Mytilus edulis: one gene and its partners. The protein of the gene in region 1 interacts with the protein of each later gene in a pairwise test. Links are inferred from orthologs where the notes say so. Each region holds a gene or a part of one and is shown in the gene's direction. Other genes may lie near its edges.

Evidence for each region. The genes of interacting proteins can lie anywhere in the genome.
Region 2: the proteins of prefoldin subunit 3-like (region 1) and prefoldin subunit 2-like interact in binary tests that used the Drosophila melanogaster proteins (3 or more experiments, as listed by UniProt). The link is inferred for Mytilus edulis from reciprocal best matches to the Drosophila melanogaster genes mgr and Pfdn2.
Region 3: the proteins of prefoldin subunit 3-like (region 1) and prefoldin subunit 5-like interact in binary tests that used the Drosophila melanogaster proteins (3 or more experiments, as listed by UniProt). The link is inferred for Mytilus edulis from reciprocal best matches to the Drosophila melanogaster genes mgr and Pfdn5.

Annotation. Positions count from the first base shown.
Region 1 is NC_092353.1:54,815,318-54,825,894, reverse strand, and holds the start of prefoldin subunit 3-like, read left to right. Parts: upstream 1-5,908; 5' UTR 5,909-5,978; coding exon 5,979-6,062; intron 6,063-9,080; coding exon 9,081-9,205; intron 9,206-9,751; coding exon 9,752-9,818; intron 9,819-10,577. Other genes in the region: cullin-5-like, read right to left, coding at 102-243, 677-859, 1,902-2,001, 2,426-2,532, 5,869-5,883. UniProt on the Drosophila melanogaster protein: Binds specifically to cytosolic chaperonin (c-CPN) and transfers target proteins to it. Binds to nascent polypeptide chain and promotes folding in an environment in which there are many competing pathways for nonnative proteins.
Region 2 is NC_092348.1:41,976,293-41,987,701, reverse strand, and holds the start of prefoldin subunit 2-like, read left to right. Parts: upstream 1-6,012; 5' UTR 6,013-6,046; coding exon 6,047-6,171; intron 6,172-8,910; coding exon 8,911-9,034; intron 9,035-11,379; coding exon 11,380-11,409. Other genes in the region: cylicin-1-like, read right to left, coding at 1-117, 1,865-2,040, 3,844-3,925, 5,750-5,781. UniProt on the Drosophila melanogaster protein: Binds specifically to cytosolic chaperonin (c-CPN) and transfers target proteins to it. Binds to nascent polypeptide chain and promotes folding in an environment in which there are many competing pathways for nonnative proteins.
Region 3 is NC_092345.1:32,216,961-32,227,918, forward strand, and holds the start of prefoldin subunit 5-like, read left to right. Parts: upstream 1-5,561; 5' UTR 5,562-5,605; coding exon 5,606-5,680; intron 5,681-8,842; coding exon 8,843-8,977; intron 8,978-9,307; coding exon 9,308-9,382; intron 9,383-10,772; coding exon 10,773-10,878; intron 10,879-10,958. UniProt on the Drosophila melanogaster protein: Binds specifically to cytosolic chaperonin (c-CPN) and transfers target proteins to it. Binds to nascent polypeptide chain and promotes folding in an environment in which there are many competing pathways for nonnative proteins.

The DNA of each region.
Region 1 (10,577 bases):
ACAATCCTAGTCAATTGAGATTGGAGTTGAGTGCACCAGCACAAGCTAGGTTCCAACTCACAACCTTACTGCATGAAGTACACAAGTAAACATGGACTTACCATAAGACTCTCTAACACCTATAACAAGTTGAGAATCGAAAGCCTCTCCATTTCTCTCAGCATGTAACAATTTCATTGCACTATCCTGTAGCCTCTGTTTGATATTAGAAAATATATTTTGATTCCAGCTATCTAACATCAACTGTAAAGAAAAATAAATTATGACAATCTCTTTGAAGAAAATTAAATGGGGAATGTGTCCATAGGACACAGATGATGCCCCCGCTTGCATATAATGTTATGAAGATACATACGTACGGTTGTACATATGTTACGTATAAAGGTAAAACTTCATGCCCCCTCTGCTATGGCAGGGGGATAACAAATTAGAGGAAAAGCTGTATATATTATAAATGTATGTGTTAAGATTTTTTCAGGATGCCAGTTCTTATAAATACTCCCCCTGTTACATTTTCATTATAATAAAAACCTTGCAAAATTTCTGAACTTACATGTACAGTACACTTTAAAGAATAGAAAATTCTTTGTTTCTTTCTTCAGTCATCAATTACATTCTAAATGACAGTTGTAAACTTTAAAAGTGTCAATTTTTAATTGTAACAGTAATAATTTACCTTTCTAACTAAGCTCTCCTCTCCTGGAGTTTTCTTTGGTACACTACCATGTGGTTTACCCGATAGTGAGGTAACAAGCTGCATGAATGGTTTAGGTAAATAGTCACACTGAGTGAAGAATTTACCCCATTCTGCTATGTATGCTTTTAGTAATGCTGAATCTTCTTGGTTTTTTAATACCCTCTGAAATTATCCAACAGATTTAATGAATTGAAGAATGTAAACTCACTTTTATTTGAATGAACTTTATCAATGATTTTCAAAATGGCCACCTTGAGTTTGTTGGGAGAGGAAAATATAGAATATATTTCCTCATTACCTATATTTGTATATCATGCATATATGTACTGAATTAAATACATGTTCAAATTCAGTTTGGTTTTGAAAGAAAAAATTCATAAAATTGAGATATCCTAATAACTAAACAGTCTCACATTACAGTCATCAATTAAATCCATCTATAGTATATACGACTGACAAAATATCATTAAATAAACTGTTGACACAGAGGCATGTCTGAAATGTCAATACAAAATTAAGAAAAAGACGATCTGATATTTGGCAACATTGCTAATTAATTAAATGTTGGTCTTTTGTTTGTATGTATTACTTTTTTTTAATGTCTTTTGTGCTGTCCAGTGATTTTTGTGATTCCTGTTGTCAGATATAATGGTTAGTATGGTTTGTTTTCAGTGTTGCATAATAACAAGAATGAATCAATAAAGGCATGGATAAGGCTTGTTGTCATAAACATTTTGAGTATGATTATTGAGCAGTCTGAGTACTGAGTAAAGTTTTATGACCGAGATCCCTGAATCATAAAACAACAACTCACAACAGTTACAAAACAAGAATGTGTCCCCAGTACACAGATGCCCCACACAACTATCATTTTCTATTTTCAGTGGACCATGAAATTGGGGTCAAACCTCTTATTTGGCATTAAAATTAGAAAGATCATAAGGAACATGTGTACTAAGTTTCAAGTTGATTGGACTTCAACTTCATCAAAAACTACCTTGACCAAAAACTTTAACCTGAAGCGGGATGAACGGACGTACAGACCAGAAAACATAATGCCCCTATACTATCGTAGGTGGGTCATAAAAACATCCCCTGATAAAAATAGGGTTTTCTTGACAGATTAAACTAGAAGTTTTATAAACAAACTCTGTAATAAATGTAGTTGTTAAACAATGCGTTTAGCAATATTGACAAAACTTACTGATTGAGCATGCTGTATGAATTCTAGTATATCATCTTGTAAAGCTTGATACATCTTCTGTGGACCTTTGTCATCCCAAAGGCATACTGAATGTACTGCACTGTAAAAAGCAAAATAGTGTTAAGCATGGTGTTACATAAAACTGTTTTAATTGGCTTTGATTATTTGCCAGCCTGCTTTTATCATGTTTATAGTTATAAATATTGCTTGGTATTTGAGCTGTGTAAATGGTATATTGGCTTTCAAAAATATTAATACTACTCCAAGATACATGTTTTTTTAAGAAAAGACCTTAGTAAGGAAATCATAAAACCATGAATATTTTTTTATCAGCCTACCTAGAAATCCTATAAATACCTAAAATGGTACCTAATCTTGGATGTCAAGATGACTTGTATTGTAAGGTTGCATGTCTTAAAAAAACTAACATACATCTCATTTTATTCGAACTATATTCAATATAGTATAACAGTGTTAACAATATTTTTTACTTATAAGAATATAAAACTAAGTGGAAACCCTACCAGAACAGATCCTGCCATTCTGCTTTGGTAACTGGTTCCTGTCTGAGTAATTTTAAGGCAGTTGGTCTCATGGAGGGCCATCGGTCCTCAAACTGAGACTGTCCTTGCTGAAAAAAATGAAAATCATTGTTCGTATTATGTGTTTATGTATTAACATTATAACCAATACTATTTGAGAACAGATTTTTATTTATGGATACTTTTTATTCATACATTTTTGTGTGGATTGAACAATTATAAAGTTTATGGATATTTGATTTTGTGATTTTGCCAAATTCTGCATTCAAGCCTTAGTATTGAAAATGTGTTCTTTGATTAACATTTAAATTCATAATTAACTACATGACCTATAACCACAAAATCCATGAAAACATCACAAAATAACAGAGTCCACAGAAATGAAAGTCAATAACTTGCCCAAGTTCATTCTCTATAAATTAGTCCTAGTTCCGCTTCTCAGTAAATATATATTAAAAGCAGATTTGACAGTTAGTTAATTATAATCCCTAATCATATACATTTTTTACACAGAAACAAATTGGGTCATGCATGGTTACCACCAAGACAAGTCCATGAGTCCTTGACCCATTTAGACTCGACTCATCAGTTTTAAAACAGACAAGTCCCAAGGTATATCAAGATCCTTTGACTCAAAGTAATTAAACATTAGGCCGGACTTTTTATTTTATCTGTTTAACGAGAAAATTTGTAAAAAATTAGGGTCGAGGGGGCGAAATAAAAAAAAATAAAAGTGCAAAATTGGTCCAGTCGACACTAAAAATAAAAATAAAACCATTATAAGTGACTTTTTTTTTTTTTTTTTTTTTTTTTAGAATTTATCAAAATACAAGAACAATGAAATGAGAACAGACCAGTATATTAACCCAGAGAAATATAAATACATATAGTTTATATATGTCTCTGGTTAACCCTTCTATTAATATAAACATAAAAACTATGTTTTGATTCTGTATTTCCACTATCCATGGCACCACTCAAATATATCAACCTCGCTGCATATACACTATATATGTATATACCAGTCACCCAGTCAGGAACCTCTTAGTGTATACAGAGACATATATATACACATGTGTATATATGTCTCTGGTGTAATAGTCCCAGAGTTAAGCTACTTTAACCTATAAATTGAAACAATGCTTATACATGGAAATATATACACTAATCAAGAAGATCTAACCAAAAGTATGTTAATGCGTGTGGAATGCGTAATTTTCCCTTTTGGGATCATTTTTTGTCTGTCAGCAGTGCCATTCATGCGTCTGTAGTCATTATCGCAAGAATCCGGATTTCGGTCATAGCGGGTCAGTTTCCGATGAAATCCCGATTCCGATCCTTAGTTCTACAAATTTAAATGTCAGACGAAGAAAAATTTACAAAAATAAACGATGTTTGATATGCTATTTGGAAAGGAATATGACGTTTCTAATGCAATACATGGATGACAAGTTTACTTTAGGCTAATTTCATCAAGTTCTGATGAAGTAATAACTGATTTTGCCGAAAGTTAGAATGATTTGATGTTCGCTCTCGTGTAACAAGTATGAAAAGCATGCCACCAGCTTAAAAATCTTTTAGAAGAAAATATATCGTTTATGCCTTGAATTTCTTTACTTTTAAATGAAAATTGCTGTTTCGTTGACTTGGTAAAAATTAAATATTACCGATAACAAAATTGACTGAAAGCGAGTATCGTGAACAACACATTTTATTTTTTTCTGAGGATTTCGTAACAGTCGGCGGGAAAAATAATAATAAAAGTAAGAAGCACTACTTTTATTTTTATTCTAAAATCGGGAAAGGTAGAGTCGGCGGATCTCGTTAAACAGATAATAAAAAAAGTCTGGCCTTAACAAGATGTGTGTAGAAATCATCATTAATGACAAAAAAAGGTGATATTATCATAAGTTTTCTAAATGGAGTCATGGAAGTTCAAATAGTATATATGCATGTACAACAGAAAAATTGAATTGATGAGTTAGGCTTTGTCAAAGTAAAAATTTCATCATGGTCATGGCAAAATTATGAGTCTTTGTACTACTGTATTGTAAAGTGTAAAGTATGCTACATATGAATTTTCTGTTCCAAGATGATGTAGGGAATGAAACACTAAATATTCATGTACCTGCAACAGCAAGATGAAAACATATGATTGTCAAAAGCATAATATAATTCCTTCTCACATGATGACATGATAAAGCAAACCAAATATAAATATTTCGAAGTGATTTGGTGAACACCAATCTTGATTTCAACAGTTGTTTTTTTTGAATGAATTACACCGGTTGACACAAGGTCAATCAGTTCTTACTGCGACATAAAAATCATAATAACAGAAAATTTATGGGAAAGTTCGCAAATTTCGAGTCAGATTTTATAATAAGCATGATAAAGAAGTAAACAGAGGCGGATCCAGAACTTTTCCTAAGGGGGAGCCCGCTCCAGTCATGGTTTGATGATTTCCTATATAATCAAACAAATTTTTCCCACGAAAGGGGGGCCTGGGCCCCCACCTGAATCCGCCTATGGTAAATTTAAATGAATTCATACGCGATAACATTATACATAATTTAATCTTTTTGATGGATGATGCTACATGTATATACTGGGTTGATATTTATAACAACAGATTTTTAATATATGGAGTACAGAACAGAGGAGTATAATGATGATATACAAGCCTTTTACTCCGAATTTAATAATATACCTTATCCCTATTAGTATTAGTCCGCCATTACTAGACATCGCAAAGGTTCCCATAAAATTTTGAGGTCATAATACAAAATATCTGACACCACAATGGCAAAGTGATTGTTGTAGGACGTCAAAAGTTCAAGCGGCCGGACAGCCAGTATTAGCGGGGGGGGGGGGGGGGGGGGGGTCCTGATCCCGAAATCCCGGGCTCAAAAAGACTAAATCCTGAGGTCCCGAAATGAAAGAAAGTAAATCCCGGCATCCCGAAATCCGAAAAAAAGAATTCCCGGATCCCGAAAGGGTCAATCCCGAAATCCCGAGCTTAAAAACAGCCGATCCCGGAGTCCCAATAAAGGTCCTATCCCCCCTCATTAGCGATAAGGTGTATGTAAATATCATGGGTAAATATTATAATTGAGGAATTTTTATGAAACATTTTTAAAGGGTGTTATATTTACAAGCTGTGACTTAAATGTTAAATATGAAGTAACTTTACCATTATGTTTCACGTTAAATTGGCGTAGAGATATATAAAAATAATAAAAATTGCACAACACTCAACATAATTTTTTAAAACATAATCTGAACTGTCTCGATTCTGAAGGGTAAATACTGCTGTTTACATAATAATGTGACATAAGGACTGGACATTATCGTAAACTGTTTTTGAAGATTCTATATGTGTCACATTTGTATATAAACAAAGAAGGATATTTTTCAGTCATTACCCTCAACATCGCCATATTTATAATTCCTCTCGTATCTATCGGTAGTTTTCGGTGTATTGATACACAAGGCCGAGAAGACTTCCGAATACACGTTATTTTCAGCAAGCATCATGGCTACGGGTGATTCCAAAGCAGATTCTGCAGATAAATCAGAATTAAAGGCGAATTCGAGCATTCCTTTAGCAGAATTTGTAGTATGACACTTTATTCAACACACACGAAACATTATTTACCCTTCAAGTTGAAAAACTTATTTGTTATTGTTTATTTATCCCCATAGACATACATTCATGACCAAACAAAAACTTATACCCACGTGTTGTGTCATGATGCAGTTGTAATAAAACACGAATTCAATAATTGTAGTGATCTCTGTTATATATTTTTTGATAGTTTGTTCAGGTTATTTCATTTTTACTAATAGGTTTTTGCACGTAGATTATTGACATAGATCATGAATGTATTCAGAAAAATGTATTAGATATTATGCAGCAGTTTTCTATATTGACCTAATGCTTTTACTTGGGTTGCAATACTTCTTTCATTCATATGTTGAGTGGGGTCTTGTTGTGCCTGGTCGAGGATGTGTGAATTTTGTCTTGTAGGAGTCGAAAGTCCCCTAGAGCGAGGCAGTTGTTGGCGACATCAACAATACACCTTATCGCTATTTGTCCGCCATTACTGGATATCACACAGGTTCCCGTAAATTTTTGACGTCTCAAAACAAAATATCTGACGCCACAATGGAAAAGTGATTGTTGTATGCGTCAAAAGTTCAAGCGGCCGGGTCAGCCGGGATTAGCGATAAGGTGTATTGAAAAGAAATTCAGCTGAAATCTGTTTTTTAGGAACTTCTTGTGATTTATCAATGTTATATTTTTTTTGACAGTTGCATTACTATCACTTCACATCAGATTAACAAAAGGTCGAGGCCCTGCCCCCATGGTTATGACTGAATAATTAGCAATTTTAAATGTTACCTTTTTCTGCTGAAGTCAGTGATTTGTCTATTTTTAGATACGTTAATTGGAAGTTTTAGATTCACAACAGAAAGTGTTATCAATTCCATTAGTGTTCAATGCATTTCATTTCATAAAAAAAGTCAATTTTATTTATTTTTAGAGATAATGTTTTTGTTAGGGTCGGCGGGAATAAAAAAGCATGAAAAGTCAATTTTATTTTTATTCTGCAAATCGGCAAAATCGAGTCGGCGGATCCGTAAACCAACAAATTAAAAAATCATTGCCTTATTTTGAGACCCCAGGGGCCTGGGTGGCAGAGTGGTCTAAGTAGTTACTGCTGTAATCACTATAGCCAGGCAACACTGAGGTTGTGAGTTTGAACCCCGCTGGTGCGGGTGCATTCGACTCCATTGTTAATTGTCAAGTATTGTCAGTTTTCCAATGGAAGGTAGGTGGTTTTCTACCAGCACTCCGGCTTCCTCCACCAAGAAATAGCCCCAATGTGGTGCTTAAAAGTGGCGTTAAAACAACAAAACTCAAACTCAACTATTTTGAGACCCTGCCATTGTTGTCATGGTCCAGTGACTAAGAATTAATTACCAATTTTCAATGTTTTCTGTGTATGATATAGTTTGATAGGAATTGCTTGGATAACATTTCAGTCAATTTGATGCACCGTCCTCTCTGTTATGGTACATCAGCTTTGAATTTATTAATTTAGCAATTTTAGTCTTTTTGACACTCACACAATATCTGCTTATATCTTTATAATAAACTTTTATTTGTCATTTAGCCAATATTGCTGTCAGATTTAGGATACTCTCTCCTTTGATTCATAAGTTTTTGTTGACTTGGAGAGTCTAATGATGAAGAGCTTGAAATGTAGTAAACTTTGCAAACTATTGTTAAAAATATTCATTTTTCATATTTTTTTGTGTTGGGTTGCTGTCTTGTTGACATATGTTCCACTTCTCTAGTATTTGTGTAATTTACTGCTCATAGTTCCCTACCTATCTTTTATTTGTTGTGCTTTATATTTTAATTGGAAATCAATAATAATGAACTGTTAGAAAATAACATTTTCTTATCCACGTAGATCGAAAGCCATGTACATGATTCTGTGTCTTTTGGTCTCTTATGGAGAGTTATCTCATTGGCAATCATACCACATCTTCTTTTTTATATGTACAATAAGCAATTTAGAGCTACACTACACTGATTCAAATGTGATACACCAACATGTTCAATTACTTTTAGAATTGCCAGTTTACAGAAAATTGTACTACAATTCATTAAATTCTATTTCGCTAATAACAGAATATCTGTCCAAAAGTCAAATGTGTATATAGATATAAGAACATGTAGTATGAGTGGCAATGAGACAAATCTCCATCCAGGCCATAATTTGTAAAAGTAAACCATTATAGATCAAATTACGGTCTTCAACACAGAGCTTTGACTCACACCAAACAGCAAGCTATGAAGGACCCTAACTGAACATCAGTTTCCTGACTTAGGACAGGTGCAAACAAATGCAGCGGGTTTAAGGGCATACGATACAGTTTTGAACCTGTATTTACAAGTTGATGAAAATTTGCATATATAGGCTATTTTTTATCTGATTAAATCAAATATTTAATAAAAAATATACCTTCATGGGCTACTTTTTGAGTAAAATGAGGTCGAAATTTTGTATATTTGCTCAAAATTCAGATTTGTGTCCGTATTTTCTTTTTCGAAAGAAAGACATAACTTTTTTGTTTTAAAAGATAAACACAAATTGTTTTTTGTTAAATAATCGGTAATTTTTGTATTTTATAAGTATCATTAAAAATTATGCAATTTTATTCCAAAATAACTCCATATTTATCAAATGTTCATGAATAGAGGAAAAAACGTCATTTTTTGCTGCATGTTTATCAAAATTAAAAAAAATGCGCTATTTACAGTTTTATAAAATTTGGGTCACATAATCTCCTTGCAAAATGAAACAAATTGCAGTTTTAAAAAATAGGGGTCCATGCACTCATTTTCAAATTAAAACAGTTTGAATGATAAAAATCAGTCGAAAAATGCATCTTTCCCCGATATGTCATAGTTTGACGTCGCGAAAATAACATTTTACGTTAGCAACGTCATTACCTTCCCTGTAACTGTATCGTATGCCCTTAAACATTTGAATACCTAACATGTCTATCACATCATTATTTCTATTGGGAAGATATATATTTGCTTTTAATGTATTTTCAGGAAGATGTTGATAGTTTTATGAAGAGAGAAGAAAATGAATCAGCTGAAAATGTTTTAGTAAGGCTGGATGAACAACATAGAAAATATAAATTTATGGAATATAATATATTAACAAAGAAAAGCAGGTTTGTTTACATGATATTATGTTTAATTTATATAGAATATTATGTCTGAAAGAAAAGTAATATAACAAAAAAAAAAACGGGAATCCAAGGGAAATTCAAAATGAAAAGACTTTTTTTATGAAAAAGCAAAATCAAAAGCTCGGATACATCTAACGAATGGATAACAACAGTCATATTGCTGACTTGGTCAAATGTTGGTACAGGCTTTTCCTTATGTAGAAATTGGTGGATTACACCAGGTTTTATAGCTTACTCATCCTCTCACTTGTATGACAGTAGCATATAATTCCATTATTTTGACAAAAGTGTGTGAGTCAAACAGACAAGATAAAAATGTCAACATTGTAATAAAATCACTAAAAACAAATAAATATTTCAATAAAAAAACACAAAATGGCATAAATAGACCAAATACCTAAACAAAACAAATACTAAATCAATCAATTTATTAACCAATAAATTAATTTATAAATACATTAATTAATCAATCGATTGATTAATTAGTCATTTTGAATGTAAAATTGATATAAGAAGTTTTGTTTTCAGATTGAAACAACAGATCCCAGACATTAAAACTTCATTAGACATAGTTAAACATTTACAGTCAAGGAAGGTAAGTCTAGCATATCTATTTATAGTTTCTTTTCATGCATCCATGAAACGTTTTTATTTTAGATTTGCAAAAAAGAGAAGCAAACATTAACAAATGCAAGGAAACATTGAATATGACAGAGAAATTAAAAACATAGAATTAGTTTTTGTTGAGCTCAACATAGGGATAGTGATCCAGCAGTGGCTGTGGTGGTGTTAGCTAAACTCTTAAAATCTTAATATTTCAGAATGCAGAAAACCTGGATCCTTTATACTTTGTATATATATAGAAGCCTTATGATATGAAGTTTCCATCTGTCATATGTCCATTGTCCTTGACCTCATTTTCATAGATTTTAGTATTCTTAATTTCTGTCTTATTAAGAGTAATACACATAATAGGATAACTATATTTGGTATGTGCATACCTTGCAAGGTCTTCTTGCTCGTCAGATAGTTTTCACTTGACCTCAACCTCATTTCATGGATCAGCGAACAAGGTAAATTTTTCATGGTTAATTCTCAAATACTATAAGCAATAGGTCTCAGATATTTGGTTTACTTTGCCATTTGTGCAAATGTAGTTATTATTGTAAAATACGGATTTTTGTCATATCTGGTCCGGTTCCGATCATTAGTTTACACTAAAATATTAAATGGCCGCTGAAAGCAATGAAAAATAAAAAATACGAAAATAAACAATGTTTGACAAGAGATTTGGAATGAATATGCCGTTTTTAATGCATTAAATGAATGAAACCTAAACTAAAGCCAATAATGA
Region 2 (11,409 bases), on another chromosome or scaffold:
CTTTTGTCTGCTGGAGGATCCCTCTCTGGAAACTGCAATGTTTTCTTTAAATCAGCATATTTATCTCCACCATTTTGAAATATTATGTTATTCAAAGGATGATCTTCATCTGTTATACTGAAAAATTGTACATTACAAACTTGACTTTAGATCAGTTGAACTGAAATATTGTACATTACAAACTTAACTTTAGATCTGTTATACTGAAATATTGTACCTTACAAACTTAACTTTAGATCTGTTATACTGAAATATTGTACATTACAAACTTAAATTTAGATCTGTTATACTGAAATATTGTACATTACAGACTTAACTTTAGATCTGTTATACTGAAATATTGTACATTACAAATTTAAATTTAGATCTGTTATACTGAAATATTGTACATTACAAACTTAAATTTAGATCTGTTATACTGAAATATTGTACATTACAGACTTAACTTTAGATCTGTTATACTGAAATATTGTACATTACAAATTTAAATTTAGATCTGTTATACTGAAATATTGTACATTACAAAGTTTAACTTAAATTTAGATCTGTTATACTGAAATATTGTACATTACAGACTTAACTTTAGATCTGTTATACTGAAATATTGTACATTACAAATTTAAATTTAGATCTGTTATACTGAAATATTGTACATTACAAACTTAAATTTAGATCTGTTATACTAAATATTGTACATTACAAACTTAAATTTAGATCTGTTGAACTGAAATATTGTACATTACAAACTTAAATTTAGATCTGTTATACTGAAATATTGTACATTACAAACTTAACTTTAAATCTGTTATACTGAAATATTGTACATTACAAACTTAAATTTAGATCTGTTATACTGAAATATTGTACATTACAAACTTAAATTTAGATCTGTTATACTGAAATATTGTACATTACAAACTTAAATTTAAATCTGTTATACTGAAATATTGTACATTACAAACTTAAATTTAAATCTGTTATACTGAAATATTGTACTTAAAAACTTAAATTTAGATCTGTTATACTGAAATATTGTACATTACAAACTTAAATTTAAATCTGTTATACTGAAATATTGTACATTACAAACTTAAATTTAAATCTGTTATACTGAAATATTGTACATTACAAACTTAAATTTAGATCTGTTATACTGAAATATTGTACAATACAAACTTAAATTTAAATCTGTTATACTGAAATATTGTACATTACAAACTTAAATTGAAATCTGTTATACTGAAATATTGTACATTACAAACTTAATTTTAGATCTGATATACTGAAATATTGTACATTACAAACTTAACTTTAGATCTGATATACTGAAATATTGTACATTACAAACTTAAATTTAAATCTGTTATACCGAAATATTGTACATTACAAACTTAAATTTAGATCTGTTATACTGAAATATTGTACATTACAAACTTAAATTTAAATCTGTTATACTGAAATATTGTACATTACAAACTTAAATTTAGATGCAAAATATTCAGCAAAAATATGACAGCAGAGTCCAGTGAGTATCATTTCATTCCAAAATTTAATCGTTTTTTGATGAGAAAAAATAATGAAAAAAAGCATTGAAGTTGTTAAAGATATTTGTGCCGTTTAGAACTAGTTAATACATTTAATATTAAAAATCTTACTCTGTCAGTTTAGAACACAGCAGGATATATCTTCAATTATGTAATAATGTTCTTGTATTTCAATAAATTTAAAATCAGGTTTATTTTGATACTGAAGTTTATATATATTTCTGTCTATTTTTTAATCTTGTCTACTTCAGCTTCCTGTGTGACTGTGATCAGTGTTATATACATCTTTGTTCACCATTATTATACACCAAATATTTTACCTTAGTGGCCTATCTGTACTTGGCCATGATTCATCAAAATGTGAAGAACCAGATTCATCCTGGTTAGCTTTCGGTGTGAATGAGTTACCTCCCTTTAAAAAAAGTTCATCGTTATAACTTAGTCTTTCGTCTTCATTCCGTTTTCTGGTACTTGATCTAATTGGACTGATAGATGTCTAAAAGTAAAAATACAACACAAATTATATTACTTTGTATTAAACCAGTATCAACAATAACATATATATATGAGCTTTCATTTCAATTGGAACTTTTTCATATATAATAACAACCTGTACTTATAAATGTTAAACATGAAATTAAAAAAGGTAAAGGTTGCTGCAAAACTAAACCTTTTTTTCATTCTTCTGCAGCTGCATATATAATTTATATCTTTTCTAAAAAAATAACCATCCTTAAATGATATTTTTTGTAAACAACAGAATAAAGATACATTATAGTTCAAGTCAAGATTATTATTTTAAACTCTAAATTAATCCCACATATTTTGTTTGCCAAAATCCTTTGATTACTACTCCTTACAAGTTACATAAGAACACTATATCCTAATCAAAATGTATTATCTCAAAATGTTTATGTAAACAACTGAATATAAATTCATGCATCACTAAAAATATATAATTTCAATTCCTAGAAAAATAAGTGCTAATCATCAAATTGCATATTTTTCTTACTTATCATTAAGAGTATGAAAATGAGTTTTGTCTGTTCTTAATCAGGAATTTGGTCAACTTATGTCTAAACGCCGCAAAGGGCTATATCCTGCCTTAAGTGTCTGTTGTCATGGGAGACATTTCTTTCTGTAGACTAGCATCTGAAAATGCAGCTCAGTATGCCAGTCTTGTGCAAAGGTTTCATATTCAAATTATAATCATAAACATGTTCTGGTCCTGATATTCATGTAATATTTGCAACTGGATGTTAAAAACAACATGTATGTTCATCCATCCATCAATCGTGTTATATCTTTAATACATGTATGTCACTTTGTGATAAGGGTAGTGTGTAGTTGGTGGGAGATTTTTGCTTGTCTCTGTTTTATTCACATTTAGTTTTAGTCATGCAATCATATATCTTAGCCTGTTACAGACACATGACACATGCAACTTAATGAACCATGAGTTAACCTCAAATGGTTCACATTGTATTTTGTTTTTTATGTGTTGTTGGTTCATTGCCTTATTTCCAAATATGATATCCCAAAGTATTCATTCTTTAAGTGTTTATTACCCCTTTATATTACAAGTAAATACAAATATGATACACACTCATGCATCACTTACATGTAGTTGTACAAATACATGTAATAGAATTTATAAATTGTAAAAAGGTATACTAAATAAATATATATAATAATATACTGATCTACATGTAACAGACAATACTAAAGTTATGGAAAATTACACAATAGGACAAAAACTCTGAACTTAAATCCATTGCCCTGATTTAGGTCTTTCCCTGTAAAATATATAAAACCTAAATCACTTATAACATTACATATAAATGCTCTCTAACAAATGCAAATATTGATAAATTATTTACATAATATTATTAGAAAATCTTAAGTGCTTAATCATAAACATACTTATACATGTTATATGGAGGCAGACAAAAATCTCCAATCTTATACCCACTTATCTTCTGTTTAGGAAAAATTTATTCCATCTAATTATCATTTTTCCAAATTTATTGTAGTATTCTTTAATCTTATGTTTCAGTCTGCACGGTTCCACTAGTCATATGCCCCAGACTACGAAAATTTTGTTCGGACTAGTAAGTTTTTGCAAAACTTTGTTTGGCTCAATAAGAAAAATGTCAGAATATTGGTCTTCAGACCCCAGTAGTTGAAGTTTTTGGTGCAGACTGAAATTTTCATTAATCATTTTGGTCACACTTTTTGTTCATTAGACTTTTCTTCCTTTAAATATTAAAACTGAATACAAGTACATGATTATTCCTACCTTTTTCTGTTTTTCTGAGAGATTTTTCTTTTCTGATGGATGGTAATGTGCTTTAGGAGGTGGATCTACATAGAAAGGATCTCTGTATAATAAAAAAAATATAAAAGAACGGTAAGTACACTATCATTGATTAATGCATACTTCCTATTACAATTAATAACTGGCATGACTGGACTAAAATACCCCTATTTGTACAAGGTGTTACACCCACTCTTTATGTAGTATGGTTTAACAATAAAACAAATCTAGACCTGCCAATGGTAACTAATGCCCCTATAATATACTTTGTGAGTAAGAGTTAGCTATGAAGGCGAATCAAAATGTCCAAATTGACAAGAGTTGTCGTTTTTGTAGATGGTCTTCATTACTCCTATAATCATGATAATTAGCAAAATACATGTAGAACATAACGTCACAGTTCCCAAATAATGGCAAATACACCTTATCACTATTTTTAAGTCTTTTCTGATTCAGCCCTCAAAGTAGCCTTTGAAATGTAGTTGCCAAATGGTCACCAGACATGAAAATTTAGTGGCAAATGCAAAATTTCAGTGATAAGGCAATAATTTCAGAATGCTTGCATTTTTCTCTATCTAAACAACCAGGCTTGTGAAATAAGAGTATTAACATGATTAAGTTTCTGTTCAGTGATTTTTGCGTTCTAGTGTAGAAAATAGTTTATATAAATCAACTGTACATTAACTACATGATTTATTTAATTTTATATTCGTTGTACATGTTTTAAAACAGTCTGCAAGGTTAACCGGTAGTCTGAAGCTCCAGTCTAGTAAAAATCTCACTGGACTTGTGCAGTTTCTAAGCACTATTGATTTCCCCATTGGTCGGGGACATTGTTTCAATCCATTTACCATGTTTACTGACGAAATCGAGACACTGCTCTACCATGTGCTTTAATTTCAATAAACACAATCTAAAAATGCCAATGGTTTTCTTTTAAATGGCATGCAATTGTCAAAGTTGTAACTGAGTGTGGAAATATGAAGATAGATCATTAGATAGATCTGAGCCATTTTCAGTCAACGAAAATGATCTACAATTACCTGATGCAATAAAGCGCTGACAATGTCCAGCATAATTCTAAAAGGCACTTGAAATATTGTATTCATTTGTGTTACATGTCAAGCACTCAGACGGTTTTTAAAACTCAGCTCCGATCAAGGCAAAATTTCAGAAAATTTACCATTTGACAGATTTTCAATATTCTAAAAGCTTTAATACACCTTTATATCGCTAATCCTGGCTGACCCGGGGGCTTGAACTTTTGACGTCATACACAATCACTTTTCTATTGTGGCGTCAGACATTTCGTTCATGGTGTCAAAACTTTATGGGGAGTTGGGGACCTGAGTGATATCCTGTAATGGCTGACAAATAGCGATTAGGTGTATGGCGACAAGTTATGAATTTTTGGTCGCCAATCAGCTTTTAAAAAGTCACCCAGGCGACCACTTCAGTAGACTAAATTGAGGGCTGCCATTGACCATGTTGACCCCAGGATCTGACCCACTTGTACTTTTGTTGTCATACAACAATCACTTTTCCATTGTGGCGTCAGATATTTTCTATTATTTTTATGGGAACTTTTTTGATGTCCAGTGATTATGGTGGACAATTAGCATTAAGGTGTATTGCATTCATATTACAAAGATGGTAGAATAAATTCCTTAAAAAAAAAAATGAAAAACGTGACTTGTCAGGATACTTAAATCATTAACATTTATTTTTGACATTTTGAGAATCTTTAATATTTTCTCTGAAACTAAAAGTGACACACAAGACAAGTTTCAACAAGATTATAAAATGAAATATTTTAAAAACAGTAGTGTTGTGCTTGTGATGAGAGATGCTTTTAAAAGTTATTCAATGCAAAATGGTATGCCTAAACCTTTTTGGAGTTGGCCTCGGCTGAGAAATCATGACAAGTCGATTTCTAGTTTGAACATCTCTCTACTTCGCCGCCATCTGTAAACAAAGTGAGGATTTATAAAAATTCCAAATCTTATTGTAAAACGAACAATATGTTTTTGTAATTCTTTTCGCCAGTTCTTCATAGGTGTGATTAAAATTCTAAAATAATATTGAACCTGGCTTTTCAATACAAATTAATTAAAAAATACCAAATTCAATTCCAAATATTGGTTTATGTGTTCACTTTTCGTTTTCTTAGACGACGAGCATTAAAATGGCTGCGAAAGGAAAAGGCAAAACACAGGAGCAAATAGTTGCTGGTTTTCAGGAATTAAGACAACAACAAAGAGCTGTTGCTGGCAAAATATCAGAGCTTAATGGAGATTTAAAGGAACACGAGTTAGTTCTCCATAATTATTTCTATATAACTTGTATTTTAACCACGTGTTTAGATGAAAAGGGGGAGACAACTTTTTTTTAGAACTGCATGGAGATGATGTTTACACTTGGTAGTAACTGTCATCACAAAATCTTGTGTTATCAAGTTACTGATATCAAATGAAAACTAAGTTTCTTGTCCAAAGATCTAATAAAATCGATAACTCAAATAATCACAGCTCTCCTTTCGGTCATTGTTCCCCAGGTAACAGGTCTGTTCGGAAGCAAGTTAACTCGTACCATGTTAACTCGTACCAAAAAAGTGAACTCGTACCACTGGGAAGTCGTACCACTGCAAACTCGTACCATCAAAAATATATTAAAAATTACGAATATTTTATGGTATTTTTTTGTAAACTTTATAAAAATAATGTTGAATTACTTGAATTTTATACTGGATTTTAATAGACAAAAATACGAATAAAAAAGCTTTATTTTTTAAGCCCCAGCTTTAAGCTGATCTTTCAAAGTAGTTATAATCCAGAAGAAAGTAAAAGTAAAACATTGCTTTAACTGTACCTTAAGTTGAATATCTATATCCAAATTATCCAAATTAAATCAATTTATGCTGTAATCCATGATCACAAATCGAATGCTATGTTTACGATTGTTGAAAGCCATGTGCTTTTTGGCGGGAAAATTCGGGAACAGGAAACAGTTACATTTCATTGTAACTTGTTATTTATAAATAGTAAGAATTTCATTTTTGAAATCATTTTGATTAACTGCTAGGATTTTTTCATGAAGAATTAATTTGGAAGGATTAAAAAGTAAATTCAATAATTATCAGTAAAAGTTTTGAAAAAGAGTCAAAGGCGACAGCAAAGCAAATCTGCCACGGTATTTTCTATCTAATAGACAGGGACATGATTAGCTACAAATTAGTCATTGTACTTTCAAATTATATACATTTTACAGACCTCCTGAGAGGTATTGAGTGAAAGTAAATAATATACATCATCAAAACCCATTTAAATGCATTTAAGTTGTTACGAGTTAGCAGTGGTACGAGTTTGCATTGGTACGAGATTTTTTAAAGTGGTACGAGTTGACGTTGGTACGAGTTTACAATGGTACGGGATAACTGTAATTCGTCTGTTCGCCCTAATAACATGTTTGCTCTGCGTACGTACTATACAATCACAGTGACATGCGCCAGAATATACAATCATTGTAAATAGTGAACACCTGTTGAAAACACAAGATAGTCATTAATTTATTTTAATCTTTAATTAGTATGCATAAACATGATAAATATCATTAATAAAATTAACGGTACCAATTTTCTTGCACCAGATGCGCATTTCGACAATACATGTCTCTTCAGTGATGTTCTTGGCCAAAATATTTGAAATCCAAAGCTTATATAAAAGATGAAGAGCTATAATCCAAAAGGTCCAAAAATTATAGCTAAATCTGTGAAAGAAATCAGAGCTTTGCATGAGGGAGATACATTCCTTAATTGATAATAATTTCTATCATTTTGTAACAGCAAATTTTAATAACACAAAAAATCAGTATTTTCATGCCAGTACCGAAGTACTGGCTACTGGGCTGGTGATGCCCTCGAGGACTAATAGTCCACCAGCAGAGGTGAGGCAATACACTAAATAAAATATATTGTACAAAGAGAGTTTTAAAAAAACAAATTATAAGATAAATATATTATTGTTCTAAAACACAAGGAAAAGTAATCTCATAATACAACAGGGTAAACGTAATACTGGCTGTTATACATAATAAATGGTAAAATATGTAACATATTTTGTTCAAATACTTAAAATTATGCGAGTAGACAACTAACTCGAATGATTCAGCGCCCTCTATCGGTCAGTGTCCTTTCAATGTAGCGATCGATAGTGAGTCGGAATATAATGACTGGTTTATTCGGTTTAGGAGAAAAAATTAGAAAAAAATGAAAATCAGGGTGAATGGACCCTGGGCGAACAGGTATCATGGCGAATGTGAATCAGGGGGAACAGACCCTAATTCGTTCTCCACTGGCACTGCAGAGAAGAGAGTGAAATAATGACTTGATTATTTGGGTCACCTACAAATGTACATTTAAAGTAGTTAATACTTATAAGGGACTCACTAATTAGCGACAAGCAAACCTGCCAACATTTCAAAATGCCCATCAGGGTTTTACGTGCAAGAAGGAGGTCATAGTCCTACAAAAACTTTAAAGGCCTAAGGGTGGTCTGATATCTTGGTCTGCTTATTGTTTAGTGAGAATCCAGTATCCCGCTTCTCATTGCCATAATATCGCATGTAATTTCCCATGTCCTGTCAGACTATTTCCTGTTTTTATACTTGATTATTTAACTTGCATTTATCACGCTTGAAAAAATCAGCCAATCCTGTGTCATGCTTAGACCCGAATGAGACTCACTTAAAGGGGCCTTCAAATTTATTTTAATGTTGTTAATTTGCTCCTTTATGCTTTTTAAATGCTATACCAATGGTAAAAATGATTGTTTTGTGTGAAATTGTGGAGAAATTGCTATTTCAAAATTTCCAATTCAAAGCCTCCATGGGGGAAATCCCCTGCAAATAGTGACAGTTGGCAGGTGAATATATTCTGTGATTGAAGCACATTCTTCAAGTAATATATGTATGTTTAATACAATAATACAACAAAAATTTGATTAGAATTTATTCAATAAAATATTTAAATATTTATTAATATTTTTTTTTCAGAATAGTTATAGATACATTAAAAGAAACAGAATCTAGTAGAAAATGTTTTAGGATGGTAGGAGGTGTGTTAGTAGAACATACAGTAGAAGGTGTATTACCTGCATTAACTAATCATAAAGAACAGGTGAGTGTATACATATACATGTAGTGGGTACATTAAACTTTCTGTAAATCAGATACTTAACATGTATACATGTATCAGCAAAATACAGAAACTCACTTATCTGCAAAAAGTCATTTTTCTCTGGTTTGAAAGAGGTACATTCAGTTCAAATTATATTTCTGATTCTGTGAACACTCAATGTTTTCAAAATTCTTTGAACATACTGCACTTGTATTTGTAAATGAATTCAAACCATTTAAACTGTACAGGTATATAATTCTCATAACAAAAGAAGATCTTGAAAACAACATCAGATCATTCAGAAATTGTATTAAGAAAAACAAAACTTTCTTCTCAAGATTGTAATAGCCAGACTTCAGGGTCTACATGTATTTCCTGAATAAAAAAAAACATTGAAAATATCTTATTTTTGTGAATATTCCTATCTGATTTGCCGATATATACTTATATCTGATGATTGATTACATGATAAAGTTTACATTAATATATACATGATATAGGAAAGGGTTTGGTGTTTTGAAATAATATTGCTATACACGCATATATATTTGTTTAGCTGATATTCAATTAGATGGAGTCTATTGTAAATAATTGACATTTAAGGGGTACTAATTTGATGATCCACACTCAATCAAGCTAGTTTTTTCATGGTTCAATTATGGTAAAAAGAAAGCAACTTTCAGCACAAGCACTTTTAAGATGTTTTCACATTGCCAGCAGATTTTAATGTTTTAATTTCCCCCAAAAAACCCAGTTCGAATGAGCATGATGTGTTAAAAAGTTTCATTTCCTTTCTTTAATATTGACAAATGATGTAAATATCAGAATGTCAGATATTGAGAAAATGTTTGTTTACATTGAGTTGGCATTAGTATTTTCTATTTAATTAATAAACCAGATGCTCCGCAGGGTGAGATTTATAGAACCGCAATGGTTGAACCCTGAACCGTTGGGGCTAGTATGGACACAACATTCAAGCTGGATACAGCTCTGAATTTGGAATGTGATCAAATAGTTGACACAGCATAGGTTTCTGACACAGAATGAATGTGGTCTAATGAACTTATAAATAATTTTTGCTTTTGAGCAATTCACTATGCTATTGAATATTAATCCTCTCAAAAAAAAAAAAATTTGGAGAAGTTTTCTTATTATTTTCTGAAATCTGAAATGAGAAAAATTGAACCCCCCCCCCCCATTTTTTTCTTCACCTCCCCCTTTCCCTTATTCAAAAAAAGATCTGAATTCAAATTTCTTATGGAGTTTGCAACAATAACCACCCATTTAAATATATCATAAAATATCAAAATGTAAAATGTCATACAGTCATGGTTAAAATAAATATTAATTAATAGTAACTTCTAAAAAAATAGATGGGGAATGTATGCCCCCACTAGCATATAACGTTATAAAAGGACACAACTCGAGAACTGTAAAGGTGAAGCTGCCAAAAATGGAACTTTAACTGAGTTTAGAGGTAATAAGCATTATATACACATTTCATTAAATTTAGTTGAGACAAACTTAAGTTAAGAGAACAGAAACTAAAAAATTCTTCAATTTTTCCATTTGTAAAGGGGCATAACCCTCGAATGGTAATCTAAGTGCTTGTAATCAATGAATGGTAAAGACTGCTTTAATTTATCAGTTGGTAGTAAAGTGAATATTGCATTGTATATGTATATACTATATAGCATTGATTTAAGTTGATTCAACTACTATTCTGGACAAAGAAAGATAACTCCAATTAATTGTCTTGACACTACAAAAATGCTTGTTTTTGGCCCCTTTTTTGGCCCTTTATTCCTAGACTGTTTGCCCCATTACCCACAAAATATATCCCAACCTTCTACTTATGGTATTAAACATTGTGGTACAATTTCAGAACAATTGAATTACTTCTACACAACTTTTTGTACTGACACCAGATAAATGCTTGTTTTGGACCCCTTTTGGGCCCCTAATTCCTAACCTTAGGGACCATATATAACCCCCAAAATCAATCCCAAGCTTCCTTTTGTAGTTATAAACATTGTTTTAAAATTTTATTGATTTCTTTTTACTTATACTAAAGTTATTATCCGGAAACCATCCGTCTTCAGCCTACGATGACGAAGACGATGACGTGATACCAATATATAATCGCAAAAATTTTTGGGGTCGTATTAAAATCTGAAAATACAAAATGTTTGTCGTAAGGGTCGTTTTTACTTGTCAGGCGTCATATATATATCTGGATATATATATATATGCAAATTGAGTGTATTGCGCAATAAAATTACATACATCACTTATTTTAAAGAACAGTTCCAATTTCCAACTCTAATAATTTTATTTCTTTGCAGTTAAATAAGATGGTAGAAACTTTAACGAAA
Region 3 (10,958 bases), on another chromosome or scaffold:
GATGTCATTTACTGTTGTCAATTATTATTATTATACATGATATGTAAAGCAAGGTTGTTAGAATAAACAATTAAACACAAATATTATTGTTATTTTAAGCAATTGGGTGAAAGATACATATAGACCTATATGCGTTATTGCCATCACTCAGTATAACCCCATTTGGACGATGCACTCGACACAACCTTAAAAAGATGAGAGTTAAACAGAAACTTAACCAAAAAGCAATCTTAAAAAAATGATAGTTGTTAAAAAATTTACAAAAAAAAAACGCACCAAAGAATCAATGATAACCCTAAACTCTTGGGCGTTTTTATAATAAACCTTTAGTGCCAGATCGATGTACTTCAGTATAGTCAGTTTCACAAAAAAAAACTATGTCTAAGATTGATCGTAAGCCGTGCACAATTCAATATACTTATGATCAATCTTAGTCGTAAGTTTTTTTTTTGTGAAATCGACTCCAATCCTATACTCTTTAAGTTGAAATCTTTACAAGTGCAGTTATTTTTCATGCTATCGCTCTATAATATAAGATATTCGTAAAAATACCAATGTGCATAAATCCATATAGACATTTCACTTATGTTATTTAAATATTGTGAAAATCACACGTGAATGTTAGCGTGTGTGCACATTTCAGTCCAGCCTGGTCTATTTAACTTGAAAATCACCCAACCTGCAACTCGACTGAAGTTTTTTTTAGGGAAATAGGAATAACATGTATGTGTTTTAAAGACAAATTGATGAAAACTAGCTAGTAAGGAATGAAGAAAAACAGTTATCTCTGGTACACACTGGATGGAAAAAAGATATTTAACTTTATCTTGTTTTCATATTACCGGTATGTGTTCCTGTGGTTAAATGTAAAAATATTAAAAGAGCATTAGCTGTCAAATTCTTGTTCACCGATTTGACTCAAATTATAAAAAGTCTAACATAAATGATTTACAATGCATGGACTCGGTAATATCTATCAGCGTTTCGTGTGTTAGTAATTAAAGGTAATTAATCATCAAGGTGACCTCTGAAAACTTGCAAGTGCATAATAATCAAACTATGGGGTGTACGGCGATTGTTGGGCGTTCAGGCAGTTAGCTTCATCGTTTTTGTGCAATAGCTTATAAAACCATTAAAACAATGCTTATCAAAAATTAACATGTTGTTATTGATGAATAAAGAGGTCAAGCTCGATATTGATGATTTTTCACATTTGCCCTTCGATTAAGAGCGATGGTCTTCATTGATTGGAAAATGGCATTTATGTCGTTTGAAATCGTGTAATAAATGGCGAACCGTTTAACCGATATTTTTCAACTTTTTGTATGTTACAGCCGATTGCATTGGGTGTAGGTAAAGGAAATAATGACTTCACGGTTCAGCTAGCTAGCAAGCAAGCTAAGCAAAGATATTTCCTTTACCTACCTACTCAATGCAATCGGCTGTAATTGTTGCAAATTATTTTTTTTCAATTTGGAAATTGCTGCCCGAAAAGTTTAACATCTGTCTCTCCGGAGTATTGGGAGTATTTGATAATATGAATATAGCACTGCATGTGATTATTGTTTCCGTGCAATAAGATGAGAACTTTTCAACTATTGTTTTCTTCTTCATCAAATTTTATATGACTTTTGTTATTACTGTTGTCAAAATAAAAGCAATTTTCAATTTTGTCGTTCAGGCCATGATTTAGGACCCTTAGAGCCTTTAACAATGACACTTATAATGGTAATAAGATAACTCGGTTTGTTGTCATTTTAACAGCCTCTTGAAGTTAATTTTGTAAGTTTATGGTCAATAAATATGTAAAAGTTGATAAAGCCAACAAAACTCATAATTCCACAATTTAAGTTTGGTAGTGGTTTTATGGAGAATAACGCTTTAAATTTTTCTTACATAAGAAACCTACTTTAACTTTATCTCCACCAAATATTTGCGCGGCCGACGAAAGTCAAGAACTCTGTAAGTGCTCGTCTTTATACTGAAATTAAACTTAATGTTGGTTGCTTCAATGATTGAATTATTCAAAGCTTAGTGACTATGCAGAGCGCATCTATCCGATCAACTCGAAATAAAGGATACAACAGGATATACCCCATATATCATTGATTTTATTTTTGCTGGTCATATCTGAAAAGGTTTATTAAATAAGACAAAATAATAAGATGTAATTTTATTATTTTACAGTTGCGTAATGTTCAGCGGCAAATGTTTCGTGCGATCATTGAATCTACGGCACAGAACAACTGCAACGCTATTACTTGCATCAAACTATGATGCTGTCTACTGAAGTTTAGGATGCATAAAACTAGTCGTTCTATCAGATTTATAAATTTTCATGATGAGATCTGCAATTGTTAAAGTAAACACCGACAAGTTCGACTAAGGTTGTGGACAGCACAGCACTACATACATAGACACAAGTCAGGTCATCCAAAAATGACAACTGCTTCATGCGAATCAGATACGAATCGCTACCACACACACGTGCTAAAGAAATTAAGTGTGTAGTCATTGGGTACAAGACTCAGATACAGGCATTATATCTGGGTACTTTAAGATGGATACGTTTTGGATACTGTGGTTTATTTAGTTTAGTTTAATTTAAATAAAATGTTATTCAAATAAATTGAATTGGTTTGTTTGCATAACATATTGTTTAAATTAAACTAAACTAATAAGTAACTGTAAAATGATTATTTTGTCTGACACTGTATTAAATGTGGATACTTTATGGATACTGTTAGTTGGATACTTTCTGGATACTGTTAGTTGAATACTTTCTGGATACTGTTAGTTGGATACTTTCTGGATACTGTTAGTTGGATACTTTCTGGATACTGTTAGTTGGATACTTTCTAGATACTGTAAGGTGGACTTTTTAAATACTGTAAAGTGTCTACTTTCTGAATACTTTCTAGATACTGTAAGGTAGATTCTTTCTAGATACTTTCTGGATTCTGTAAGGTGGATGCTTTCTGGACTCTGTAAGGTGGATACTTTTTGATACTGTAATTTAAGGTGGATACTTTTTAATACTGTAATGTGGATACTTTGTAGGGACTGTAAGGTGGATACTTTCTAGATACTGTAGGGTTGACACTTTCTGGATACTGTAGGGATGACACTTTCTGGATATTGTAAGGTTGACACTTTCTAGATACTGTAAGGTTGACACTTTCTATATATTGTAAGGTTGACACTTTCTAGATACTGTAAGGTTGACACTTTCTAGGTACTGTAAGGTGGATATTTTCGCGAAGTCATGATTTCTTTTCATAAATGGTTGGCTTTGAGCGTTCCTGATGAAAGTAAATCCAGAAAAGCGGTGTTTTGCTTTTGCGCCAATTAGTATTTCATTTGCGCCAAAAAAATCTTTCATTTGCGCCACAAACAATATTTCATTTGCCCCAAAATAAAACCTTTTGATTGCGCCAATATTACAGGTAAATACATATAAATAGCATAAAACATATATTTAAAAAAAGACTTTTGATAATAAAAGCTTTTGTTTGCAAAATTAAATATATTCCTCAGAAATCAGTCGACATTAAACCAAACAAGTATTGTTAAACCTTAATGAAACAGAGTTCTGTTATTAATAAACGTTATCATAACACCTACTATGAAATATGAAAGACAACAGTTTACACTGGAGTTAATCTAAGCATGAAACACTATTGTAAAGTTATACGTCTACCCTGGCACCAAACTTGTAAGCGACGGCCTTGATGTATTCATGTCTGGAAAGTTCCTCCTCTCAAGTGCATACCATATTGATAAAAAAGATAGACCGTTTTTTTTTCATGAACTGCAGTCCATTTCAATTGTTATACTGGTTTTGCAAGGTTTTATTTATTTGGGATCCCAATAAACGACTTGGTCTTCATTTTTCAGAACGTATGATCTGAAAAAAAGTGTGGTCATCAAATTTTACACACTTAATTCTCCGCCTGTTTTATGTCTAAATAGAAAATGTCCATTTTGACACCTCGAACATGTGAACACTATATACAATTGTACACCTTAGTGACTCTCAACTTCAGAATTGAGTGTGGCATTGAACTCATCCCGTTATCCAGAGAAATACTGTAAAGACAAACCTTTTAGAGCAATGAATATTTAACGTTTCCGTTATTGCTTGCCCGAATTACCTGAAAATGGCGCAAATGAGGTTTTTATTTTTTGGCGCAAATGAAATATAACCTTGTGGCGCAAATGAAAGATTGTCATTTTCAAAAATTGGCGCAAATGCAATGCACCCCCAGAAAAGCGTCTGACTCATGAAATTATTAAACTTGTTATTTTCAACTTTGTAAACCAGTACTAGCTATAGTATATAAGCGATGTGCCACCAGTATATACCGCTTTTATGTCTAAATGAAACACTTAGAGGTTTAGCTAGCTATAAAACCAGGTTCAATCCACCATTTTCTATATTTGAAAATGGCATCCGTTTGAAAATGCCTGTACCAAGTCAGGAATATGACAGTTCTTGTCCATTCGTTTTTGATGCGTTTTGTTATTTGATTTTGCCATGTGATTATGGACTTTCCGAATTGATTTTCCTCTGAGTTCAGTATTTTTGTAGTTTTACTTTTTAAACTCAAAACAACTTTATAGACTACTGCATGAGTTCATACTAAATTTCTCAGTTTTATATGAAATGTATTTTTGATACGAAATAACCATTGGTCATCTACTTGTGTACACAAACGATAAAATGTATTTTAAATACTGTATACAGCTTGATTGAAACTACGCCTATAAATATATTGTCTTAATTTTTTTTCTGTCATTTTCTAATGGTTTATTTGACATTTATAGCTTTATCATTTTTTGGGAAAATGGAATCGAATAAAGTGTTGATGGCAGTTTTTCTGTTTAATTCAAACTTATATATACTGGATGTTGCCAACTAGATTTCTCTTGATTATTTTCATCTTTGGTTTGCTATAAATTTACTAACGGCAAAGATGACAAAAGAATTGATAAGACTGAAACATGTCAAAGTGGCTTGGTTCTTCATGGTGCCAAGAAATATATCCTTTACATTATTAAAATTTAGTAAATCTTTACTACACTCAAGGATTTGTATAATAACACTATACAAATCCTTGCTACACTGAAAAATAACTATATGTAATAAAAAGTAAATATTTCGAGACCTAATTTCTCTTATATATATTAAAAAATTATCAACAAATTGTTTGTGACTTTCTGTCCGTTTACCTTGGATAATAATGGGCCATTCTAATATTTAACCTAGTTATAGTTCAGAGACATTTTATTATTTTTAAGCCTTACACAACGAAATCGAGAACGAAATATAAAGCGCTGCATGATAACACTAAATTATACAAATGTAATGTACTTTTAAATAATTCCATAGAAATAATCCAAATCCAATCAAATCTTCCTTTTTGATTTGTTTTCCTTATTCAAAACAGAAATATAGTATTGTTGGATACGCCATGCAGTTCATAAGTGATCCTCCGTCTATCCATTTATTTTGGTCCGTTCCTATACTATATATATATTATATTTTTGTTTGGTCTTGAACTATTTCTGTCCACTTATTACTTCCCTTGGATAAAATACCGACATGGCGACACAACAAATCGACATCGCCCAGTTGCCAATTGAACAACTTAACCAATTGGCTAAACAATTAGACCAGGTTCAAACTTAGCATTACTAAAGTTTCACATTTATGTAACCCGCACACCAAAATTCGAAATAGAAATTACAATAGAATAAGCTTTTTGATCATTGTCATCGACATCGTGCTATTACATGAAATATTTTAAATAATTATATATAATCCTTTTCAGAATTCTATCGGGACCGATTTCCCATTTAACTGACCACATATTACATTATCAAGCCCATGGATCTCCTGTAGTTGGTGATCGCAATACTGGTATAAAAATTTTGTACCAGTATTGTCACTTTTAAAAAAACCCAGCAATACTGGTACATTACTGATGTACCAGTATTACCTGTAAGATACCTGTAAGATCGTTGTGGGGCTCATATGGAAGGATCCTATCCTTTTTAGCCCACCCTATTTTGGTACACTTTCAAAACTGATACAATCATCAATCCTGCATGATTTGGTGCAATATTTCACACAATTCTCAGATCCGGACATCCTGGCATTTAAATTTTTCAAGGGGTGATGCAGATAGGATTCCTCTAGATTTTTCATCTATTTGAAGGTGTTAACTGATTATTTATATTGTTGATTATTTTTTAACCAAAGGATATAGTATGATAAAAATCAAAATGGAGATATTATATAGTGTCTTTAACAATATTAAGTGGGTAAAATTACTAGATTCAACTGGTGTCAATATATATCAGTTAAATTAATTACATTGAAGTGTATGGAAAATCTAGAGGATTCTTATCCGCATCACCTCTCAGCATTGTTTATGTAACACATATATGCTAATCATTGATTGGTCAGTTACATGTTGTGATGTCACTGCAGATCTGAGAATTAAAAAGTTATATAGAAAACTATTTGTGTCCTCATCAATTTCTTAACTGATACATGACTGACTCCCAATGACAGTCTATACTAATTTTAAAGGCTTCCACAGTTTTTGATGAAATAACTTCAACTGGTAGGTTATTCCAATCATTAATAATTCGTTGTGAGAAATGTCTTAATCGAAAAGAAGTGTTACATCAAGGTTTTGCTAATTTCCAATTATGCCCACGGGTATTTGTACTGATGACAGTAAAAAATCTTTCATAAGATATATCTTCGAATCCTTTTAATATTTTGAAAGCTTGTATCATATCACCTCTTCGCCTTCTGTGAGTTAGGGAAGGTAGTTTAAGTACTTTTAATCTGTCTTCATAGCTTAAATGTCGTATATCAGGAATTAATTTAGTTGCTCTCATCTGCACTTTTTCTACAGCATTAATATCTTTCTTTAAATGCGGATACCATATTGTATTTCCGTATTCCACGTGTGGTCGTACCAACGCAACGTATAGTCTTAAAAATGTATATTGATCTTTAAAGATAAAAGTTCGGTTAATTAGCCCAAGTATACTATTGGCTTTATTTATTTTACTTGATATATGTTGAGTTGTATTATTGTAGTTGTATTATTGACTATACTTAAAGATTTAAAATGAAAAATGAATTTTGAAGCAAAATTGGATATTGAAGATCAAAGGGAGGTTAAATGAACTTGAAAAGATTGTAGAGGATAATCGTGAAATCTATTAACAACCAATTAAAATTAATTAAAATATATACTTGTACAAATAAACAAAGGATTATTGTTATTAACTCATATTATTCAAATAATTGTTAATTATAATATAAATATTTGCTAAAAAATTTATGATATTTCTATAATTTATTTAATTCAATTTAGATAGAAAATAAAAAATAAAAGCTTATTATCAGAGTTATTATTTTTAATAAATTCAAGCAAATAATTACACTTTAAGGTTCTCATTACTTGACGTTCAATTGAAAATGAAAGTAATAATCTTATTATTCATTTTATGTATTAAAAGACAAAATAAATCAAAGAACTATTTCATGTGGAAGTTTATAAAATGAATGTAGAAAAGGCTTGAATTGATGGGTCTCTGTGAAAATTGTCCAAACATGAGTAATTAAGGCCACAATAAAAAATATTTCAGTTTGCCCAAACCCGACAAATGATGACTGGGAGTGGGTAGGTAGGTAGGCAAATTCCTTTTTTTTTATCAGAATTTGCATGAAAATGTTAAAACAGTACAAATTCAATGTATATCTTTTTTTCCGTCAAACAATCAAAAACCAGAATTTAACACCTCTATAAATTAGTCTACTATATAGAATTAAATCACTCAACAATAAACTGAACTTTATTTATAATGTGTAGACTTAAACACAACATATAAACGTTAACACTGAGACTAAAATAAAAAATCAACATTTTTGTCCATATACTGAGACTTAGAATAAAAAATCAACATTTGAAAGGTATTTTTTTTTTTACAGTAAAAGTAGCAAACTTAAGTTTATTGTCAAATTCCTATACAACCTCAATAGGTTCACTCATGTCAGGCCCGAAAGTTTGTAGCCACTGTTGTTGGATACAGTAACAACTACGTCATCAGTTTTCTGCATGTCCATCTCATCAGGATCGGCATCCTCATCAAAAACATCATTCCAGGTTTTCCTTTTGTTAAAGCGGTGAAGCCTTTTAGACACAATAGTCTTTATTTTTTGGTTAATTTTAAGAAGTACAGACGACGACAGCGTAAAAAAACTGCCATGACACATGTTTTGCTTCTTTACTTAAATGTACGTTCATTAAATCAGAAGATAAATACCCAGAACATTGAATATCGATTAACTGCGTCTTTTACACGCTTTCTTTTAATCTTAGTCACAGTTACTTTCAAACGCAAAGACGACGATCATTAAGTTTTATACGATGACGGAGTGGACACCAAAAAATCTGAAGAAAAGAAAAAAAACGGCAAAAAAAGAATTTGAGTCAGCGTTGTTTTTATTTTAAGACAGTCAGATTTGGGCAAACATACAATATTTTTATTTTGGCCTAAAGGGTTGCAGGTACATGACACTTACAAAAATCAATTTTGAATTAAAAAAAAGTGATCATACTGAATTAAAGATTGAATATTATATTGTATAGATGTAGATAATTGTTGAAGAAAGACAATATTTTGACATCTAAAAGTTTCTTCTGTTTTGTATTGTTTGTTTGCTGTAGTCTCCTTAGTTGTGCTGTGCATGTGCTTTTATCATTAATATAGGATTAACTTAATGTTATATATGTTTGTTTTACTATATTTTCAGGAAATTGAATTATTCTCAAGTTCCATGAACCAGCTGAAGCATGCACAAAATAAGTTTGTAGAATCTCAAGAGAGTCTGAACAAAATTTCACCAGAAAGCTTGAGCAAAGATATACTGGTTCCTCTGACTGGTTCTGTATCCTATTGTCAAACTCAAAAGTTATTTTTATTTATAAAAAAAAAGTTTATTCAGTATTTAATTGCAAAATATTTTTTTGAAGATTGTCAAGGGAATACTGACTGTCCTTTGGCTTTGGAAGGGATTTGACAAAGGATTTAAACAAACTTCAATAGGTGTGCTTATAGTTTGTGTAGGACATTCTCACAGATATTTTACAGAAAGTTTAAATTAAACTAAGATTTCTTAATCATTCACATTAATACATGTATCAGTGTTTAAGAAAACTTAATTTTCAATAAAGCCAATAATTTAGCCACCATAAACATTTATCTTAACTTAATAAAGATATATGTACCAGGACAGCTGAGTGATGTACAAAATGTCATGGTTGATATAGGGACAGGATATTATGTAGATATGGTAAGTCTTTGTATTTCATGTACAAAATGTAATGGTTGATATAAGGACAGGATATTATGTAGATATGGTAAGTCTTTGTATTTCATGTACAAAATGTAATGGTTGATATAGGGATAGGATATTATGTAGATATGGTAAGTCTTCATGTACAAAATGTAATGGTGGATATAGGGACAGGATATTATGTAGATATGGTAAGTCTTCATGTACAAAATGTAATGGTGGATATAGGGAAATGATACTATGTAGATATGGTAAGTCTTCATGTACAAAATGTAATGGTGGATATAGGGACAGGATATTATGTAGATATGGTAAGTCTTTGTATTTCATGTACAAAATGTAATGGTGGATATAGGGATGGATATTATGTAGATATGGTAAGTGTTTTTATTTCATGTACAAAATGTAATGGTTGATATCGGGACAGGATATTATGTAGATATGGTAAGTCTTTGCATTTCATGTACAAAATGTAATGGTGGATATAGGGACAGGATATTATGTAGATATGATAAGTCTTTGCATTTCATGTATTATGTAAGCACAGTTACACACACACTATGTAGACACTGTGGCTCGGGTATTACGTGGATTGGTGATTATATTTCAAATATTGTATTATCATGATTATTAAAAGATTTTAAAAACTAAAAACTTTTTGGCAAAACATTTGCTTTTAAAGAACATTGCCTACCTCAACCTATATGCTTGATACATGTATGTTGAATAGAACAAATGGTATACTTTTGAGGTTACAGTAAAATCATGTAAAGGAATTAAAATAGAAGCCATAAATTTCTTGTCACCTACAAATGTATGCACATTAGTGTGCTTTTGATTCATGTCACTAATTTAAACTCATATCAATGACAGTGCTGGGAAGTTACTCATTTAAAATTTTAAGCACATTGAATCAAAAGTTAGGGTCACAGCATATTTGAATCGTTATTAAAAATATATGACAGCAAACAATGACAACAACTGAAGTTACTGAATTACAGGCTCGCTGCTCCTGATTTAGGATAAGCAAATACCATGAATATAGAATATTGTGGGAATAAATATGTTTGGAAGTGCTTATTCCTCACCTTTACATTGGACAGTGGTGTACAATCACAACATAAGAATAAACTAAAGAAATCAGTTGAAAAATTGCATGACTTATCAGATTGGCATGAAGCACCAAAAAAAAAACCCACAATAAACAAGACAAACAGTCAACTTTCCTGGTATTAAAGCATTACTGTTTGCCATTAATCTTGAACTTTTTTGAAGGATTATTCAGTAGAAATCCTTTATATTAAATTATAAAAGCTCAGATATCTTTTGTTATCCATGTTATCGTTTTACTCAGTTGTTTATTACCTTATTTGGTTTTTTTTCACAGGATGTTAAAAAAGGGAAAGAACATTTTAAACGAAAGATTGAGTACATAACTAAACAGATAGAAAAAGTACAACCCTTACTGCAGGAAAAGTATAGGATGAAACAAGGTAATAGTAACACAAGGCTGTCAGACTAATACTACTGATTGTATCAGAATTATTTCTGTCTGAGGTTTAAGAGTAGGATA